Linked DNA regions of Bombyx mori. The protein of the gene in region 1 binds, or shares a complex with, the protein of each later gene. Links are inferred from orthologs where the notes say so. Each region holds a gene or a part of one and is shown in the gene's direction. Other genes may lie near its edges. The genes, in order: stress-activated map kinase-interacting protein 1, rapamycin-insensitive companion of mTOR, target of rapamycin complex subunit lst8, rptor and TOR1.

What was found.
Region 2: the proteins of stress-activated map kinase-interacting protein 1 (region 1) and rapamycin-insensitive companion of mTOR are in contact, whole or in part, in a cryo-EM structure (PDB 7PE7), measured with the Homo sapiens proteins. The link is inferred for Bombyx mori from reciprocal best matches to the Homo sapiens genes MAPKAP1 and RICTOR. Residues at the interface, in NP_001006618.1 of Homo sapiens: Ala2, Phe3, Leu4, Asp5, Asn6, Pro7, Ile9, Ile10, Leu11, Ala12, His13, Ile14, Arg15, Gln16, Ser17, His18, Thr20, Ser21, Asp22, Asp23, Thr24, Met26, Cys27, Met29, Val30, Leu31, Ile32, Asp35, Val36, Ser84; in NP_689969.2 of Homo sapiens: Arg108, Gln137, Glu140, Thr144, Leu147, Arg148, Arg151, Lys152, Thr155, Arg182, Met183, Arg185, Ala186, Ala189, Cys192, Glu193, Leu196, Leu220, Arg222, Ile223, Glu225, Ala226, Leu227, Thr229, Thr230, His233, Asn236, Arg293, Trp295, Glu844.
Region 3: the proteins of stress-activated map kinase-interacting protein 1 (region 1) and target of rapamycin complex subunit lst8 are in contact, whole or in part, in a cryo-EM structure (PDB 7PE8), measured with the Homo sapiens proteins. The link is inferred for Bombyx mori from reciprocal best matches to the Homo sapiens genes MAPKAP1 and MLST8. Residues at the interface, in NP_001006618.1 of Homo sapiens: Lys102, Cys103, Lys104, Asn105, Ile106, Gln107, Trp108, Lys109, Arg111, Asn112, Ser113, Lys121, Leu123, Phe124, Glu125, Lys126, Lys127, Ser128, Leu129, Gly137, Lys138, Gln139, Ser140, Ile141, Leu142, Val144, Arg145, Leu146; in NP_001186102.1 of Homo sapiens: Ala29, His30, Pro77, Ile78, Ile79, Ser80, Tyr81, Asp82, Gly83, Arg98, Arg110, Ile111, Trp112, Gln120, Cys121, Gln122, Arg123, Ile124, Asn139, Gln140, Ala141, Leu157, Lys158, Ile203, Glu206, Ser279, Gly280, Asp281, Gln283, Asp322.
Region 4: stress-activated map kinase-interacting protein 1 (region 1) and rptor share a complex: the UniProt entries of both Homo sapiens proteins name them as parts of the mechanistic target of rapamycin complex. The link is inferred for Bombyx mori from reciprocal best matches to the Homo sapiens genes MAPKAP1 and RPTOR.
Region 5: stress-activated map kinase-interacting protein 1 (region 1) and TOR1 share a complex: the UniProt entries of both Homo sapiens proteins name them as parts of the mechanistic target of rapamycin complex. The link is inferred for Bombyx mori from reciprocal best matches to the Homo sapiens genes MAPKAP1 and MTOR.

The regions. Positions count from the first base shown.
Region 1 is NC_085121.1:3,857,631-3,861,650, reverse strand, and holds the start of stress-activated map kinase-interacting protein 1, read left to right. Parts: upstream 1-1,212; 5' UTR 1,213-1,350; coding exon 1,351-1,682; intron 1,683-2,112; coding exon 2,113-2,499; intron 2,500-2,618; exon of another isoform or gene 2,619-2,920; coding exon 2,921-3,252; exon of another isoform or gene 3,253-3,547; coding exon 3,548-3,738; exon of another isoform or gene 3,739-4,020. UniProt on the Homo sapiens protein: Component of the mechanistic target of rapamycin complex 2 (mTORC2), which transduces signals from growth factors to pathways involved in proliferation, cytoskeletal organization, lipogenesis and anabolic output.
Region 2 is NC_085128.1:9,702,741-9,706,255, forward strand, and holds part of rapamycin-insensitive companion of mTOR, read left to right. Parts: intron 1-794; coding exon 795-1,026; intron 1,027-1,635; coding exon 1,636-1,789; intron 1,790-2,190; coding exon 2,191-2,295; intron 2,296-2,374; coding exon 2,375-2,500; intron 2,501-2,575; coding exon 2,576-3,241; intron 3,242-3,515. UniProt on the Homo sapiens protein: Component of the mechanistic target of rapamycin complex 2 (mTORC2), which transduces signals from growth factors to pathways involved in proliferation, cytoskeletal organization, lipogenesis and anabolic output.
Region 3 is NC_085114.1:11,954,846-11,959,131, reverse strand, and holds the start of target of rapamycin complex subunit lst8, read left to right. Parts: upstream 1-1,484; 5' UTR 1,485-1,758; coding exon of another isoform or gene 1,759-1,890; 5' UTR 1,891-2,217; coding exon 2,218-2,400; intron 2,401-2,491; coding exon 2,492-2,641; intron 2,642-3,142; coding exon 3,143-3,204; intron 3,205-3,613; coding exon 3,614-3,767; intron 3,768-4,266; coding exon 4,267-4,286.
Region 4 is NC_085123.1:808,902-812,416, forward strand, and holds part of rptor (regulatory-associated protein of TOR), read left to right. Parts: intron 1-1,940; coding exon 1,941-2,027; intron 2,028-2,778; coding exon 2,779-3,088; intron 3,089-3,515. UniProt on the Homo sapiens protein: Component of the mechanistic target of rapamycin complex 1 (mTORC1), an evolutionarily conserved central nutrient sensor that stimulates anabolic reactions and macromolecule biosynthesis to promote cellular biomass generation and growth.
Region 5 is NC_085109.1:10,799,550-10,803,064, reverse strand, and holds part of TOR1 (target of rapamycin), read left to right. Parts: coding exon 1-31; intron 32-103; coding exon 104-263; intron 264-1,261; coding exon 1,262-1,477; intron 1,478-3,030; coding exon 3,031-3,402; intron 3,403-3,515. UniProt on the Homo sapiens protein: Serine/threonine protein kinase which is a central regulator of cellular metabolism, growth and survival in response to hormones, growth factors, nutrients, energy and stress signals.

The DNA.
Region 1 (4,020 bases):
GAGGCTTCATATTTCACATCTCTTTTTTAAGCATAATACATATTATTCCTATTCAATCACAACATCCCTTTCAAACAGCTCGTAACTACTTATTGTTTATGCTACCAGTACTACTTCTGGTACTATCTCATGGTGAGCAACAGCATCTACAGTGTGGTGTATATTTGTTATTATATATTTTACATAATATTATTTAAAAGTTAATAAAACAGATTAATATGTTGTAATTGCACATAATCTTCAGAATTTTTCATCGAATATTACACGACACACTCATCTAGTACTACATGCGGAAGAAACGATTTGAATGGTACCTATATTCTTTAATTGGGTTGAAACGTTGACCCATATTAAATATCGTAAAATCTATCCATTAATGACTCAAATTTTATAGAATTGTTGCAATTTGGACAGCTTAAAGCCTATGTAGTTAGGTCACAACATATACAAATAATTTACTTACCACAATTTGTCTACCTAAATAAAATGTTTTAGTTATTATAATTCAATTTGCCGTAAATGTGCACAAATTTAACCAAAATTAATATTTAATAATCCTATATTTAAATCCAGATAAATGTAACTCGTTAATAAAGTTTATTGAATGAATGTGTTTAAAATAAAGAGCTTTTTTCTGTTGTTGTTTTTAATGTTTTTATTACATAGGTCATAGATTATACACTTATGACATAGGTACCTAGTAGGTAGGTGTTGTTTCATTTGTGCAGATAAATAGGCAAAGAAATACAAAAATAGACAGACAATATTTTGGAAGAAAACAGGTGACCAAACATTGCGGCGAAGGTTATTCTGACTAACCGAAATGCATTACTGCTTCACCGCAGAAGCAGGCAGGGTGCTAGTGCCAGCCCGCGTGAACTCACAAGACACTACCTAGATTAGAAAATTTTGCAGTAGGCAACGACTTGGCTGTATCTTTATTATTCCATATCGAATAGTAAACGTTCGTCAGCGTCAATAACCACTAACCATCGGAAGGGCAGTATGCACGTCTGCCTACAACATCAACAAAAAATAATGATAAAGTACTTCTATAAAGTATTTTATATAATAAAAATAAATTAAATAAAAAAATGATAGTGAGAGTGACATATTAATTTACATTAGAGTGGGCAAAGCAAAAAGTCATTTATGTCCATATTATGCTACATGGCCTGTAAGGTCTTGTAGCCCTTGACCGAAAATGAAATGAAAAAAATCTGTTTAAATCAAAATTCAAAACATCAAACATAACACTTCAAAATTTTGCAAAACATGTTTTGGCCGTGGCGCATGATGCGTTATTATTATATATTTCATTAAGAGGATATGAATCTTATTTAAGAAAAAATGGCCACATACGACAACAAAATTTGGCTGTTGAAAAACATTAGAGATGCCTTCATAGCTACTGACGACACAGGCCTATGTGAAATTGTTATGGCAGGTGAAGATTTTTCTAAGATCTTCCAGATTAAGGGTTTAGAAGAAAAAAAAAGAATAAAAGAAGCTCGAGCGCTTCAGCCTGGAACTAGTAAAATAAGGGAAGGTGGAGACTCTTGTGAAGATTTCGAAAGAGAAATTATCACTCAATTTGAACCATATCCTGATATTGATGAAAGTGAAGATGAAGATCCCTTAGGTAGTAGCTATGTTCGATATGAAGAGTTTGGAGGTTACAGGTACGTCCAACATTAAGAACTGTATAGTTGAGATTTATTTTATTTTATTGTATAATGTTGTCTTGCAGGTTTCAAATGTCGTTCATCTAATTCATTAAAACGACGAAGCTCAAATCAGATTCAATTATAAAAGTCTGTCTATTAATCATAAGATACTATTTTCCTTTTTTTTCTCTTGTTTCTTAATTGTTGTCATAGCTACCTGCTAGTAGAGAACAAACCACGATCTCGATACAATCAAGACTTCAATTGTGTTTCACCAGTCAGGTGGACAGTGGGAAAATTAAAACTATATTTTTTGTTAAATTTATTTAAAATTAAAATTTTTACATTACTTTTTTTTACACACAATTTTTACATACAAAACATTAAAAAAGAAAGCTAAAACCATCCATGTCTGAAAATTTCACCAAAAAAATGTATGTTCTAGGCAGAGATCAAACACATCACAATGGTTAGACAAAAAGGAGCAGGCATTAAAAAAGGCAGCCAAAATTAAAGTAATTAAGTGGGAAGATTCATCACCACTGAGCAAGGAGCAATGTATGGAGTTATTCCCTACAGTCGAAGTTAAACCTCCAGAAAAACAAAAGTCATTATTGGCTCAGCAGCTAGAGAACTGCCCAGATCTACCTCATCGTCAGTATCTGGAGTATGGAAAGTTTGATGGCACAGCACAACTAGGATTACAAACAAAATGCTTTAAGATCTTTATGACGATGCTCTCGGAAAAACATCAAAATTATCCATTAGTTGTGTGTGTGATTGCTAGTGCCAAGATCAAAGATTTGATTGGTTTTACATGCTATAAATACAGGTGATGTTGCAAATAATTTCTAATTTTTCTTTATGTGTAGGGTGAATGAGCTTTCGGTCATTGTGTGGTTGTATATTGTTACGGTCTGGGGTTCAGGATAAATAAAAGCTCCACCAAAGTACAACTTAAAACTGTATTTAACACTTAGAACATTCTCAGAACACTTTACAACTCGTAATTCACTTTTTTCATTGCCAGCTATGTGTTTCCGCTATTTGATAATTGATAGCATTGTACTTCTTGGGTGTTCTCGATTTTACAAGTTCTTTTGATATTCGTTGCTTCTATTGGACAACAGATGGCGTTGCTCTTACCGGCGTAACAATATGAATGACACCAGCCTACGTGATATATGAGCATTAGCTATCCTTCATACCAGGACACATGACTTACACTTTTTAATGTTTATTTTTCATTACAGCATTGAACATCCTGAAATTAGTCTTGGCTCTGTGCATGAATATGGACTTTGTATAGCGGAAGATGATGGAGAAGTTGACTGGGCGTTCCCATGCCTCGATGCCAACGAACCATGCTCAAAGTTTGGCTTCACATGTTTAGGACTTATTGAGTTAAAAAACAAGAAATCATTTAACAGTCCTCCAATCCCAATGCCCGATGACGGTCATGTGTTTCATTTATTTCCCAAAATGACCGACTCTGGACAAAGTCACAATAATCCATCTAGACACAATACAGGTGGAAGTCAAACTTCAGAAGCTGTTATAAGTGCATTAAGGGCTGTTAATGAAGGTTAGCATATTGTTCTTTTATTTTGTTAAAATTGATTAATCTTTCAATAAACTTCTTACAGTTACAGAAAAAACTACAGTTTGATAGATAAGACCATACATAAACTTTAAAAAGTTAAGTATGATTACTTTTTTTTTATTACTTAAATGGTTGAACGAGCTCACAGCCCACCTAGTGTTAAGTGGTTACTGAAGCCCATAGACATCTACAACGTAAATGCGCCACCCACCTTGAGATATAAGTTCGTAGGTCTCAGTATAGTTATTAAGTAAAATGAATGGAACTAAATTTTCAGAGAAAAAAAGCAGTGAAGATGCAAACCTAGAAAAGATTCAGTGTCATATAATGGCCACAGAAGCACCACAGTATAAATCATATAAAGTGCAATTATTAAGGAAAGTACGAACTAACACTTCTGTACAACTTGGCATCTCATTAGATAGAATAGAAATTGAACCTTTAGTTACTCATAAACATGTATTTTGGGTAAGTAGCAGCTATGATACTTGAGTATATTTCTTTGTTTTGATGAGCCATAAACTTAATAGAAAGTATACTATTGCAACTGTAAAAACTAAAGGGTTTAATTAAAGGAATGTAGGATGAAACCAAAATTGCCATTGATGGTATTGAGGCGGGTAGCCATCATACAACGCAAGATAATTGACAGATGCCTGAATCTCGCTTACGACATTTTCAAGATAAGCTTGCATATATATATATATTTTTTTTTTTTATTGCCCTTTTATGCTGGCGAGCATACGGCCC
Region 2 (3,515 bases), on another chromosome or scaffold:
TTGACGGTTCAAGGTGTCTATGTAAAAGAAAAAAATTTTTTTAGAACCTTTCCCTTTTCATTCATAGCCAGACTATTATCACGCAGGAACCTTCGTCTTGACAAATTATCAGCTAAAGTTATTAGCGCATAACATGAATGCTAATGTTCACCGTCTTACAAATTGTGGATATCAAAAAGTAACACTGCTGGTCGAGAAGCTAAGTAATGTTCTTACTGGCGGTACTTTACTGGTGGTAGGACCTCTTGTGAGTCCGCACGGGTAGGTGCTACCACCCTGCCTATTTCTGTCGTGAAGCAGTAATGCGTTTCAGTTAGAAGGGCAGGGCTGCCGTTGTAACTATAGCGAGACCTTACAGCTTATATCTCAAGGTGGGTGGCGCATTTACGTTGTAAATGTTTATGGACTCCAGTAACCACTTAACACCAGGTGGGCAGTGAGCTCGTCCACTCATCTAAGCAATAAAAATAAAATAAAATAAAAAATGTGTGTGTTCATGTCACACACGGTAGAAGTGAAACTTATAAATAAGATATAGATATACTGACTATCCCACTACACAGAAGCATACATATGGACAATGTTTAGTATACGATAGTGGGGATGCTACGAAGAGAAAGAGAACAACAAAGCAGAGACCGAGAATGTCTAATGTGTTCTATCGCATTCTCTTGCCGGCTGAATCCTATTCATTTGTGTTTGTGTCTATGGACTTATTTTTTCGTTTCATGGAGTTTGAAAGCACAACGATCTAAAGAAGTTTCACTTCAAAAATAATAATTTATGTCTGTCAGGCGTTGTCAACCCGGAGCTGTGGGTGTGGTGTGGCGGCGCCAGTGCCGTGTCCCGCCAGCTGGCCGAATGCGCGACCCCGCGACAAGCGGAGGCGTTGTGCGGTGCTCTCCTGCACGTGTTAGACCGACCGGGCCCGCGACGTGCCGCCCGCCTCACCACAGCCTGTCTGACGCATCTAGCTGCACCGTACTGTGACTTCCACTTCCGTTCAGCGCCTACAGATTCCACCAGGTTTTTATTATAAGCTTCTTATAAAAATGGATATTAGCCGTTCACTTTCCAGACAAATCAAAACAATGGTGCAAATTAAAGCTAATAATTGTTTTTTTTTTCCTACCTAAACTGAGACTAGCCTTGAGAGGCTATTTCAGCATAACCTTAACTATTAGTGAGCTCACGGGGCTCAAACTTGACGACGTTGCTAACACAAACCCTAGCAAGAGCCGTGCTTCGCAGAATCTACCACCGGATCGGAAACGCGACCCACTGAGAAGATCGGGCGAGAAACTCAGTGGGCTGTTTGTAGGTCAAATTACTTGTAGAGCCCTTCGTCGCAACCGACGGGTATGAATAATTTAAAGTTTTCTTTGGAAAATAAAATCTCTTAGTCTAGTCTCTTAACTAATGCAACCTAAAAAAATAATCGCAGTATTTTTTTTTAAATCCTTTAGTAAAGAATAATTAAAGCAATAGCTAAAAAAATCAATTACTGACTGTGGATGATATAGCTAGGAATAATAGGATAGGCCATGTTGTAAATCACTGGGTATTTAGCATCAGTGTTCGGCTCAAACATAGTTGGCACTACAATTGAAACCTAAAATACTTATTTCTTTATAGGGATGAGAGAGAGATGCGGTTCACCTGCAGTAGATTGGCGTTGCTATGCGTTTTAAGGAGTTGGCCAGGGTTGTTACATTTTTGTCACCCATCGAGTGCTGGGGGATTACGATCACTTGTTGCTGCTCTATATTTACCTCGTCTTGAAGTTCGGGTAAGTGCCAGTTTTAATTGTAAATCAAATTAATTGCTTAATGATTTTGAAATGGTCGTGGCTTAAAGGATAAGTCGATTGATGCACTCAGATGGAACGATACTACTATGTCGGTGTTCTAATACCGCATACAGGTGTCAATTTTTTAACATATGTTCATGTTCGTTGTGAACCCGCATGGGTAGTGTATTTCTGCCTGTTATGATGTCTTCGTGTTGCGGTAACCATTTGACATCATGTGGGCCGTGAGCTCATTCACTAGTCTATGCAATATAATATATTATGTATTTATGGTAAACCATAAAAATGGTTTAAGTACACAGTTGATTGGTTTTGAATAAGGGAATTAATTGTATGGTTCATAGTTAACATTTATTGTTTGTATGTGTGTTATATTACAGAAAGCAATATTGGATTTGCTATACGAATTAGTAGGGCTACCACAACCTGAATGGACAGATGAGATCTCAGTCGCGCTGGACGCTGTGGACCCTTCAGACTTTCAGGTTAATTTTAACATAATGCTGTTGGTTTTATCAAAGTTTCATCTAACTTACACGAAATTTATATTTGTAATGTCTCTAGGATACGTGGCGGCTTAACGAAGGATTTGTTGCCGCGGAAGGCATCGCAATACTACCTCATCTCGCAGCTACGGGACCCGATATTACGGAAAACCACTTAGCTCTATTACTTCAATGTTTCCTAGAGGTACAACCCTATTCGCGTTATACAATTTTTTTTTTAATGTTTACAGCAGTATTATAGTATACAATTAAATTCTAGGTCGGTCTACTGGACGGGTTAGCTGAAGTGATCGTGACGAGCGACACTTTTATATCGGTGCGCGCTACGGTTCTACTCGGCCAGCTGCTGCATTTAGTACACTTGTTCCTGCCTCCTCCGATATGTAACATCACGCCCGCCTTACCCGTCCTAATGTCTCAGGCGTCTAACGGAAAGCCTCAAGCCCTGGCAGCGGTGGCCGCCTTGCGGAAACTGCACGCGATGCTCGAAGCGAGACCCGCCAGCAGCAGCCTTTTCCTCGACCACATCATTCAGTACTGCAGCGGAGCGTTCAAGGAAAAGAACGAAGACGCCGCCAAGAGTCGGAAAGAGAAGGACAACGCCAACATAAGACCGAGACAGGAGATCGGCATTCACAAAAACGACAGCATAGAACTGCTGAACGAATCGGACAACGAGAACGAAACGAAACAAAGGCACAGCGTCGGCTCCCGAAATGACGTCACCAACAGAAACATCAGTGCGCTCGTTAAAAGTAAAAGCGTAACTTCGCGAACTAGCGCCGCCGTGAGCAAGGTCGCCAAGTCGGCCAAGTTTTTCAATTTGTTCGAGCGAGACAGCGACAGTTTGATCCGGTCCACCTTGGTCATGCAGAACAAAGACGGAAATACTTGGAATTGGGAAATCATAAGAACTATTTTAAAGGTAACGCTCGAAGTTTTTGAAGTGAAACTTCTTTAGGCGCGTTGAGAGTATAATTTAACTCGCGACAGTTTCGTTTAGGAATAGCCAGAGTAAGAAAATAGACAGCGTTTGGCGAACCACTCAACCGTGGAGAGAGGGAAATAAAAAAGCGAGCTAGGTCGTTTCTCTTGTACATAGCATTTCTCTTACAGGCGAATTTTTGTTAAAGGATGAAAAATGAAGAAAAGCACATTACTATTGTACATTCCGCAAAAGAAGTTTCACTTCTTTCACG
Region 3 (4,286 bases), on another chromosome or scaffold:
TACTAGTGTGGAAAAGGTAGGGAAACCAGTTTTATTTAGGAATCAATTGGAAGGTTCGAAATTTGGAAAGGATATGTACGTAATAGGATAATAATATATAATAATGCCTAAGAGTTCATAATATATAGTGATTGGGTATAAATAAAAAGAATATTATATTTTAAAACTGTTTACATTTTAATATTATTAATAATGTAGGGATTGATGTGGGAAGAGGAACTCGGAGGTTTATCAGGGAATTTATGAATGAGGAACAGTCACGTAGGAGGCATCCAAAGAAAATGTGATTCAAGTCAGGTGAATGAAGTTAGCCCCTCAAAAAATTTTTTTTTCCTATTTTATACTTATTTTCTATTAATTCATTTGTTCATGATTGTTCACTGTTAATAATTGTTTGTTCTGCATTTATTTATTTAAAAAAAAATATTTAAAAATATACCTACCAGTTAGCCCCTCTAATGCAATTTTTTATATTTTTTCATCCTTAATGACTCGTAAATATTCATTTTCGATTGTTCTTATATAAAACACGTTTGTCCTCTTTCGAAATTACTCGTTTTTTGTTTAATTTACTATTTTTATTAGTTGAATAAATGTATGCAAAATATGTGTACTGCGCATGCGTCAACTATAATGCCTAAACTTTCTACGCGGTTTTAATCGTGAAAAAAAAACAAATATAAATCCTGAAGGAGCAATTAATTGGTATACAGTTTAATTAAAAAAATTAAAAAAGAAATAAATGAAATAATGTGTATTGGCGTTAAGTTAGACCAAATACATTTTTTCCATCCTCCTACTTATCGTTATGAAGGTATAAAAAAGATAGGGAGTTCACATAGGTAATATAAACAAATAAGTAAATATGTTCATTATTTATCTTTCAAGAGATAATATAGGTATACATTATAATAACTTTTTTACACAGTCGAAATTATATTCCTAACATTAGTAAAATAACATTTTAATACGATAGGTAAGAGGATGGAAAAAATGTATTTGGTCTAACTTAACGCCAATGCACATTATTTCATTTATTTATTTTTTAATTTTTTTAATTAAACTGTATACCAATTAATTGCTCCTTCAGGATTTATATTTGTTTTTTTTTTACGATTAAAACCGCGTGGAAAGTTTAGGCATTATAGTTGACGCATGCGCAGTACACATATTTTGCATACATTTATTCAACTAATAAAAATAGTAAATTAAACAAAAAACGAGTAATTTCGAAAGAGGACAAACGTGTTTTATATAAGAACAATCGAAAATGAATATTTACGAGTCATTAAGGATGAAAAAATATAAAAAATTGCATTAGAGGGGCTAACTTGTAGGTATATTTTTAAATATTTTTTTTAAATAAATAAATGCAGAACAAACAATTATTAACAGTGAACAATCATGAACAAATGATGAACAAACGAATTAATAGAAAATAAGTATAAAATAGGAAAAAAAAATTTTTTTGAGTGGCTAACTTCATTCAACTTTGAATTACCTGTGCTGTGTTGTTTTGGTTATGTTTTGACTTTATGAGATGCATTAGTTAGAATTTACAGTAATATTAAAAGCGCCCCGATAATTCGGTTCAAGTATAACGTAGATTATATCACATCATACAAGATTTATGTTGCTCGGAAAGTTCGAAATTAAAAATTAAAATCCGAAATTTCAAAATTACCTGGCAGTTGGAAATAAAAAAATGTGCTTTTAAGAAATAAATATGCCAATTGCTTAAACAATAAGTTTCATAAAATGGCTGGTGATACCACTGCTTCTCTTGGAGGATCGCAGGTGGCTTTAGTAACAGGAGGCTACGATCATACTATCAAGCTATGGCAGGCACACAGTGGTGTTTGTTTACGAACAATGCAGCATCCAGATTCGGTACTTCATATTTTAATGTTTCGGTTATTGATCTTCTATAAATGACCAAAATGACTCAATTCATTTCCAGATAACTCATTCAAATCGCTCCGTAAATTTGCATGATTATTTTAAATTTTCATAAAAAATTGATTTGGAAATTTCGCTTTGAATAATAACGAGGGCTGAAAGGCTATTTGAATTAAGCGATATTTCGATTAATACGCGACATTTATCTTTGTAATTAAAGGTCCATTTTATTTGGTATTAACTATCACCAATTCAATGTTTTTGATTGAACATCAATTAAGCTTACTGCATCCAAATAGCTGATGGACTTTTTTTATTATGAGAATTTTAAACTTTAAATGGCTCTCCTGTAAAGTTGCAAAAATGTCCAAAAAAAGAGAATTACCTAAACGATTAAAACTGGTCACGACAGTGTCAGATAATTGTGAGCTAAGATTTAATACAAGCAGACCACTTTGTACAAATATAATTCAGATTAACATGCCAGTCATCTTTTGTGAGGTAACTTAAATTAACTTTCGTGATATTTTTACAAACTGATTATATTATGAAAATCAGCTAAAGCTTATTGCATGACGAGTTTTCCTTTCAGCAAGTGAACAGCTTGGAGATCTCACCAACATCGATGGTAGCAGCAGCTGGATTTCAGCATATACGGTTATATGATCTTAGTAGTGCCAATCCAGACCCGGTCACAACTTTTGAGGACATCTCCAAAAACGTATCTCGAGTTGGGTTTCAGGTATTATGCATAAATTCAATTAAAATTTGTTGAAAACAATATATACATGACCTTCAGGTAGATTATTTGTGACCTAGGTGTCACTGACAGTAAACTACAGGAAGTACGTGTCTTTAATATATGTCTCTAAATATTTGCCAGGAATAGAAAAAAAAATATATTTCTTTTCTCAGTTCAAAACTCATTCAGTTGAAACTGGATCTTCAGTGTCCTTTAAATATTTGAGATCTCACTGGCATAGGAATTACTATAAATCTTTGAGATTATAATTATTTCTAGGGCAACAATTTGAAAAACACACAAATTGTGTCGACATGCAGTTTTTAAACAAAAACTGATGTTAAAATCAGTTATTCATTTTCAAACAACTTTTCAAGATTGTTATCTTTTAGAAAAAAAAAAAACTATGTATATTTATGATTGGATATTTAATTTGTGAACACATCTATTACAATAAGACAAGTCATTAATTTTTTTTTTTTTTAAATTGTAACTTTGCAGAAAAATGGCACTTGGATGTACACAGGAGGTGAGGACTGCACAGCCAGGATATGGGATCCCAGGTTAAAGACGCTATGTATTATATCAACCAGTTATTAGGTAACATCATTTGTGTTTTCTAACCTTGGCCAAATGATGTTTGGAGGTTTCTCTGATGCTAGATGACAATGCAGCACCTTATATCATTCGTTATATTCGTGCTTATTATAAAAGATTCACCAACTGATATTTACTGGTGGTATGAAGATATGATTCCTGCTTTAAAGCTGTCAAGTGTAATGCTAATGGTTATGGAATAAAATCAAAATTTAGATCATAGAAGCTAATAACTATTTACACTAGGAGACCATGAGGTTGTCTGCTGATCTCTGAAATTAAACTTTAACTTTTATTGAGTTTAAAAACACAATTTACTGACTGGACCTAGAAAGCTTAGTATAGAAATTTTAAAGCGGCATGTTTCTCATGTAGGGCTGCACCACGTACAAGGTGTCAAAAGATATTCCAAGTTCAAGCTCCGGTGAATGCAGTAATGCTTCATCCTGATCAGTCCCAGATAATGGTTGGAGACCAGAGTGGCATTATACATATATGGGATCTGAAAACGGATCAAAATGAACAACTGGTAACTTTACTATATATATTTTTTTACATCCACTATCAGCTGAGAAGCTATAATACAGTATGTTGTGGTGAGCTACAAAAGTGAAAGGAACACTCTATCTCCGCATCCTATTCAGTAGTGTTCCTGCATAAAAAGCTGATGCCAACATGATATCACCAATATGCTCATAATGGATATATAGAAAGGCTACTGAGGTATTTACTAGAGAATGGCCAGTAGTATTTTCTGTATATTATAACATATTTCTGCTGTCCTTAATAGGTTGATTGATGGTTGGATGTATTATAAACCCACTTGTGTATGGACCACCATCCTACCTTTTTTTTTCCACGAAACAATCATCAGTTTTGAGCATTTATGTTTTATTGATAAGCTCTAGTAATTGATCAATCATTAGCCAAGTGCCTGTCCAACCACATAATTCAATTTAAATAAACCATGTTTATTTCATTTACATGTTACACATAAATATTATACTATTTATCCTTATTTTTGTTAGATACCAGAAGCGGAGGCGTC
Region 4 (3,515 bases), on another chromosome or scaffold:
TACTCATAGTATAGTATTAGAACGAATCTAGCGCCTGGGACACAGTACATTCAACATTGTCCCGTATACTACAAAACGCAACTTATTTACCTGTAACGTCATTTGGGGCCAAATGCAGTATCGTAATTTGGGGTAGTGTATTGTGGGGTATTGTAATTTGTAAGTGAGTTGGGGCAGCCGTTGTAACTATACTAAGACTAGAACTTATATCTTAAGATGTGTAGGCGCATTTACGTTGTAGATATCTATGGGCTCCAGTAACCAGTAAAAAAAAAGCGCTTATTAACTGACTCAGTGACGTAGTAGCTAATTAAGCCGAAAACCTTTATTATTTAAAACTCCTTAGGTTTTAAAAAGGGTTTTTCTTCAGTTTCATGTAGTGAAGTCAGTTATTCAATAAAAAGAGAGCTCAGTTTGGATAGTTCATTAATACAGTTTAATTTTGGTTATTAAATTTAAAAGAGATTAAGGGCTTTAAATGTTCTTTTCTTATTATATTACAGAGAACACAATTAAGTATTTTATTGTTTATTCATCCTGAAGTATAGTCCCCGGCACGTAACTTGGCAAGAGTCGTTAGATGCGCAGAAGTCATTTTTTAGGTCTCTTTGGTTGTCAAGCGGGACGCGGGGAAAGACGTAGCACCGTTCCGAGCGCGCGATTGGTGCGTCAGTCGACCCTCCCCTCCCGCACCGCGTCCGCGTTCCGTTCGCTCCCGGCTACACATTTGCCTACTAAGTTGTAGGATACCCTTTTTTTATATATTTTTTTTTGTTTGGAGTTGTTATTATTGTTTAAATTTAGTTTTTGTTACGAGTGTTATTGTTTTAAATTTGTTTGCAATGCCAGGACCAAATACCAATTACCATATAGTAGATTCAGTCACTGAGCGTTTTATTATTTACGCCAGTGACGACAGCGACTCTTCGTTATGTCGACGATGAGGAGCCAACTCCTTCCACCAGCTCAGGTGCTACAATAAATTTAATCCAAGGGGTAGCAATATTAGAAAATGATAGTGACGACGGCGACACATAATTTTTAATATTAAGTATATTACTAACAATTAAAATTTAATTATATAGTAACTTTTAATTGTATTTTATTTATAACACCTAATACACTTCACGAATTCCTCTCTTTTCTTTAACGTTCTTCAAAACACACAGGCTTAAAAATAAGTTATGGCAAATAAACAATAAAATAAAATTAAATTAAATTATATGCGGGCAATAAAAATGACCATTTTTTTGTTGCAATGTGCACTATGCGCGACATTACCCCCACTACACCAAAACCTTGCCAACTTACGTGCCGCTTACTATACCTACTCCATATTATTATATATATTTAAAGGCACGATATATAATCTATGTCAGTCTCTGATACGCTGACCAAAGGGACTTTTTGGCGGGAACGCGAGGAGTGAAGTTGTGTGATTTGTTGTGACAAAATAATTTGTCTATTTAGTGTTTCCTCGGGTTTAAATGTGTAATAATGGTAGTTTATTAACTGTTTAATATCTGTGAAAGTGCACAAATGTGGGAAAATGAAACAAAGCCGCTGGACGTAACTCCTCGGGATCCTCTAAAAAGTCCACTGAAAAAATCTTAGTAAATGACCACCATTTTACTGAGATTATATTTCATCTCAATTCATTTCATTTAATTTCATCCCAGTTGATTAGTGTCTCAAATTAATTATCTTCATTTTATTTCACTCCATAATATCATTTTTCATAAAAATATGAATAATATAAATGAAAATAAGACATGACTTCAAGGTCTCAGTTACCAGGTCATAAAATCTCTTAAAAAAAAATCCTGACCAAAGGGAATCCTAATCTGTGACCGTATGACCGGGCGTGATTTGTTCGCAGTAACTTTACCGCCGCAGCAATCTTTTCGTTACAAATGCAATGTAATCACAATCTATCCCAGGTATAGCTCAACTGGTCTCTGATCAGTTCTCCTCGAACGAAGACAAACTAGCGACGAACAAAAACAAGCAACAGGCCGACCCCAACTGTAAGTGGCACTTTAATCAACTCATCTCTATATCAACAGTCAATATTTTAAATATTAATTTGAGGAACAGCGGATGTATTAATGGCACATTTGCTCTATAGAAAGGGTGATCCTACGGTCCAATGAGCGAGTCCGATCGAACCCTTTCGTCAGGCGCTAATTCACGTCTAGTTAATAAAAGTAATGGTCTCATTTGTTGATCTATAATTTTTATTTGTTAAAGATATATATTTCTAAATTCTAATGAGAATTATTTTTAAAAAAAAAAATGGTTTTGACGTGACAACGTCTTATAATTCGATGGAGCCGGCTGCCCGCACGAAAAAACATGACTCATGCGGCGTTACCTCGCTCTGAGGCGTTCCATTTAAGGCTTGAAGTGCAAACGAGAGCGCGCAACGAGCGACAAAGAGGCACAATCGGCCTCCGCGTTCGGCAGCGTTCGACATCTGTCTCTCTCCTACTTGAGTGAGCGATGCATCCGTGTGGACAGCTGCTATACAATAATACATTTACATGTTGTCGTCAAGTATGAAGTTCAGTGAAAAGTGAATGTGGTGTCAATTGTTTATAGCAACGATAATTGCGAGAATTGAAAAATGAAACCATTCCATCAGTATTTTCTTATGACGTTGTCACGTTCAACATCTTTTAGAACTGATTTAATAGATAAATGAACTGTAGGACTCAATTTAAAAGGTGTTCATTTCCTACACTCAATTACAATGTGTTGGGGGGTACGTGTGCGCAGTGGGCGGCGGCACGGTGGTACGCTGGGTGGCGGCGCGGCGCTGGGTGGCGGCGGGCGGGCGCGCGCGCGGCGTGCGGCTGTGGGACGCGCGGCGCGAGCTGCGGGTGGGCGACCTGGCCGCGCCCGGGGACGCCGCCCTCACCGCGCTGGGGGCCGCGCGCCCCGACGTGCTGGCCGCCGGCTTCCAGGACGGCGCCGTGCGGCTGTGGGACCAGCGCACCCTGGCGCCCACGCACGACCTGCGCCGCCACGCCGCGCCCGTGCTGGCCGCCGCGCACTCGCTGCGCGCCGACCTGCTCGTCACCGGCTGGTACGTACTCTTGTGTGTATAGGCATCGTATATTGTCGCCTCAACAACACTCGTCCCTTATTGAGTTACTCACGCACGTGTAGGGAGCTGAATGTAGTTTCGATTTACTTATCTATATTGACATCTACCGGCAGGCGCAACCGCTTGAAACGCGCTCGACTTTGTGCAGAGTATAGGCAAAATTATAATTTGAGTAATTACTGGTGCTAGGACCTCTTGTGAGTCCGCACGGGTAGGTACCACCACTTTACCTATTTCTGTCGTGAAGCAGAAACAATTTTCGGTTTAAAGTGCGGGGCAGTCATTGTAACTTTACTGATACTTTAGAACTTATATCTCAAGTTGGGTGGTGCATTTACATTGCAGATGTCTATGGACTCCAGTAACCACTTAACACCAGGTGGACTGTAAGCTCGTCCACCCATCT
Region 5 (3,515 bases), on another chromosome or scaffold:
AAGTTTACATAGCACTCGATGAAGCGTCAAGGTTTGTTGGGTACAGATAATTTTAGATAAATATACCAAATATTGAACAACTAATCTCCGGCGATGATTTCAGGTTTTGTTTCAGCGAGAAAGATTATAAGAGAATGTTTAAAACTTTGGACAAAATGCACGCAATGCTGGATACCCCTCCGGAGACGTTGAAGGAAGTCTCATTCCTGCAGATGTATGGACGCGATCTACAGGAGGCGCGGCGCTGGTGCGAGTTATACAAGGTAAACTTGTTACAGGCATAAGGTCTCATAACCCTGGTTTAAACATTATAATGTATTATTTAACCAATATCTTTGCTACCTCTCTCTCTGGTGTAACTGGAAAAGCATCGGGGCCACCAGTAATCCTTCAATGATGAAAAGTACTTGAAAGATTCAAGTTGATATCATCATCATCATTTGTCTACCATTCTCCCAGTCACCTGGGGTCGACGTAACATGTTTTCTCCTTCCATACTCTTCTATCATATACCATTTCTTCGCTCGCTCCCCTCTTACACATATATGTGAGAAAAAATGGATCATCCATTTCTTCTTAGGTCTACCTCTTCCTCTATATCCTTCCACATTCATAGTTAACACTCTCTCATCACATGTCCATACCCATCCCAAACGCGCACTTTTCAACTTCTCTGTCACAGGGGCCACTTTCAGACTTCCTCTAATATATTCATTCTGTATTCTATCCATTCTCGTTACTACACATCCCTCGCTCCCCGAATCCTAATCACGCAGGAGCAAGTCACCGTCGTCGCCCTAGACACGTCAGATCCAATAACTCTTGCATTAGGTACCTTCAGCTCTAACACTAAGAGCAGGCTGAGGAACCCCGGTAACCGTACTCGCCGAACTCGACAAAGAGGTCGACGTGCAACCTAACCCATGCATCAGCCCGCTGAGTTTCTCGCCGGATCTTCTCAGCGGGTCGCGATTCCGATCCGGTAGTAGATTCATTCGCGAAGCAATTGCTCTTGAGTTCCTAGGTCTCCTTCGGAGGCGCTCGGGTGGCTGTTAGCAAATGCCACCCCTTCTGGCTGAGCCTTTGGTCGCCCACCTGTCCTGGCGAAACTGGAACGGCCTCCGGGCCACCAGTAATACTTCAATCATAAAAAAAAAACATGCATCGCAACATTAGCATCTCTGCTGCATGCAATCGCTTTCTATCCGCCATTTTTTTTTCAACATTGAGTTTATATATTAAGTATTATTTATTAATACAGGAGAGCAACGAAGAGAGGTACCTGAACGAAGCGTGGGATCTGTACTACCACGTGGTGCGGCGCATCCAAGCCCAGTTCCGGTCGCTGACGTCACTGGAGCTGCAGTACGTCAGCAAACGTTTGCATTCGTGCAAGGACCTGGAGCTGGCCGTCCCGGGCTCGTACGTGCCTAATCAGAAAATAATTAACATCTCGTACATACACAGCAATTTGCAGGTACGAATTTAGTTGCGAATTAGTATCATCAACACTGATAGCCGTTTCGCCTAAAAAACTATAGCGCAGGCGAAAAGTGAGTTAGTTTTTCATTTCAGATTGTCTAAGTATGTATATTGGTATATATTATATTATAATATAATACATATTATGTAAACGGTATATATCTGTTAATTGTATGTATATATTGTCTATGGTACACCGCAACATACCTGCTATATTTTTATATTTTCCAGAATTTCTGTAAATTAAACGGTTGTCTGCAAGAGATCGCTTTTAGCGATAAGACCGCCTATTGTACAAATGTATCTGCTTTTTTAATGTAAATTGTGTTTTGGTGTGCAATAAAGAGTATTCTCTCTCTCTCTCTAAGTTACTTTGCAAGAATTTCGAATTTTAAAAATTTTTTGATTAAGATTTTGCGTAAATATATGTATCGTTAACCATCAACTAAATAGTAATTTTAGAAGAGCTTTAAGCTTTGACGTTCTATTGAATTGTGATAACTTAATTAGGGCGTTATAGCATTTTAAATTCTCTTCATATTCAGATTCGATTGCACAATTTTGTGATTGACAAATTAATATTCAATTAGCAATGACAGGTAATAATTATCAGAACATAATTTGATATTATGGATAATAACATGTACTTTTAGGTTAGGAATTGTGTTCTTTTTTTTTATAATAAATATTTTATTGTCTATTTGATCTTACTTCTATATTGTTATATCACGGGAGCTCACACGAGTACCTACTCGGTACCAACCACCACCCTGCCTATTTCTGCCGTGAAGCAGTAATGCGTTTCGGTTTGAAGGGTGGGGCAGCCGTTGTAACTATACTGAGACCTTTGAACTCTTATCTCATGGTGGGTGTTTGCATTTACATTGTAGACGTCTATGGGCTCCAGTAACCACTTAACGCCAGGTGGGCTGTGAGCTCATCCATCCGTCTGTGGCGGGTAGCCATCATACAATACAAGATATTTGACCGATGCCTGAATCTCGCTTACGACAAGAAGCTTGAATATAATAATATACAAGTTCCGAACAACAACATTTGGACCGTCGGTCTACCGAACAATATCACCTGCTTGGTGGAAGATCTTCCTTTCGTTGTTTAAGCCTCACACACGTCCATCTAAGCAATAAATAAAAAAACATTTCCTACGTTTCAAAGACTTGGTAGTTTCCGTGTTCTTGAACTTACGAAAGTCAAACTAAATGTGTTTTTAAATATACCCTTTTTTTATAATACAATAAAATCATTTTTTTCTACACTATTTTTTATTCAAGTTTATTTTCTATTTTTTAGTTGGATTATCTATAAAAGCGTATTTTGTTGGTTTTTTTTTAAATTATTATTTATTTTTAATTTTTTAGCTGAATTTCAATTTTTTCAATTTTTTTATTAAGTATACCAAATTTCGAGTTAATCGGACGTTTTGAAGGGGGTCAAAATCATGTTCAAAGATTCCGTTACAAACATACACACGTCTGAAGGTAATAAAAGCGTATTAAAATTTGCTTGAACCTTATTCTTTTGTGTCAGGTAATCAAGTCGAAGCAGCGTCCGAGACGTCTGACCATACAGGGCTCTGACGGCAAACAGTACATGTTCCTGCTGAAGGGCCACGAGGACCTGCGGCAGGACGAGCGCGTGATGCAGCTCTTCGGATTGGTCAACGCTCTGCTGCGGGCCGACGCCGACACGTACCGACACGACCTCGCCATACAGAGATACGCGGTCATACCGCTCTCCCCCAACTCCGGACTCATCGGCTGGGTCCCGCACTGCGACACTCTCTACAATCTAATCAGCGAATTTCGCGATAAAAAGACGAACAAAACGGCGCTGAACACGGAACAGCAGATCATGTTGAGGATGGCCTCGGATTACCAGAAGTTGATGCTGAAGCATAAGGTGAGGTTCGGGAGTGCTCTGAGGAATTGTTCGAAACGATACCATCGAACCGCCCGCCACCGGAGTAGAGTTCATCCGTACTACCTGGAGCCACTGCGTTCATCCACAGTGCG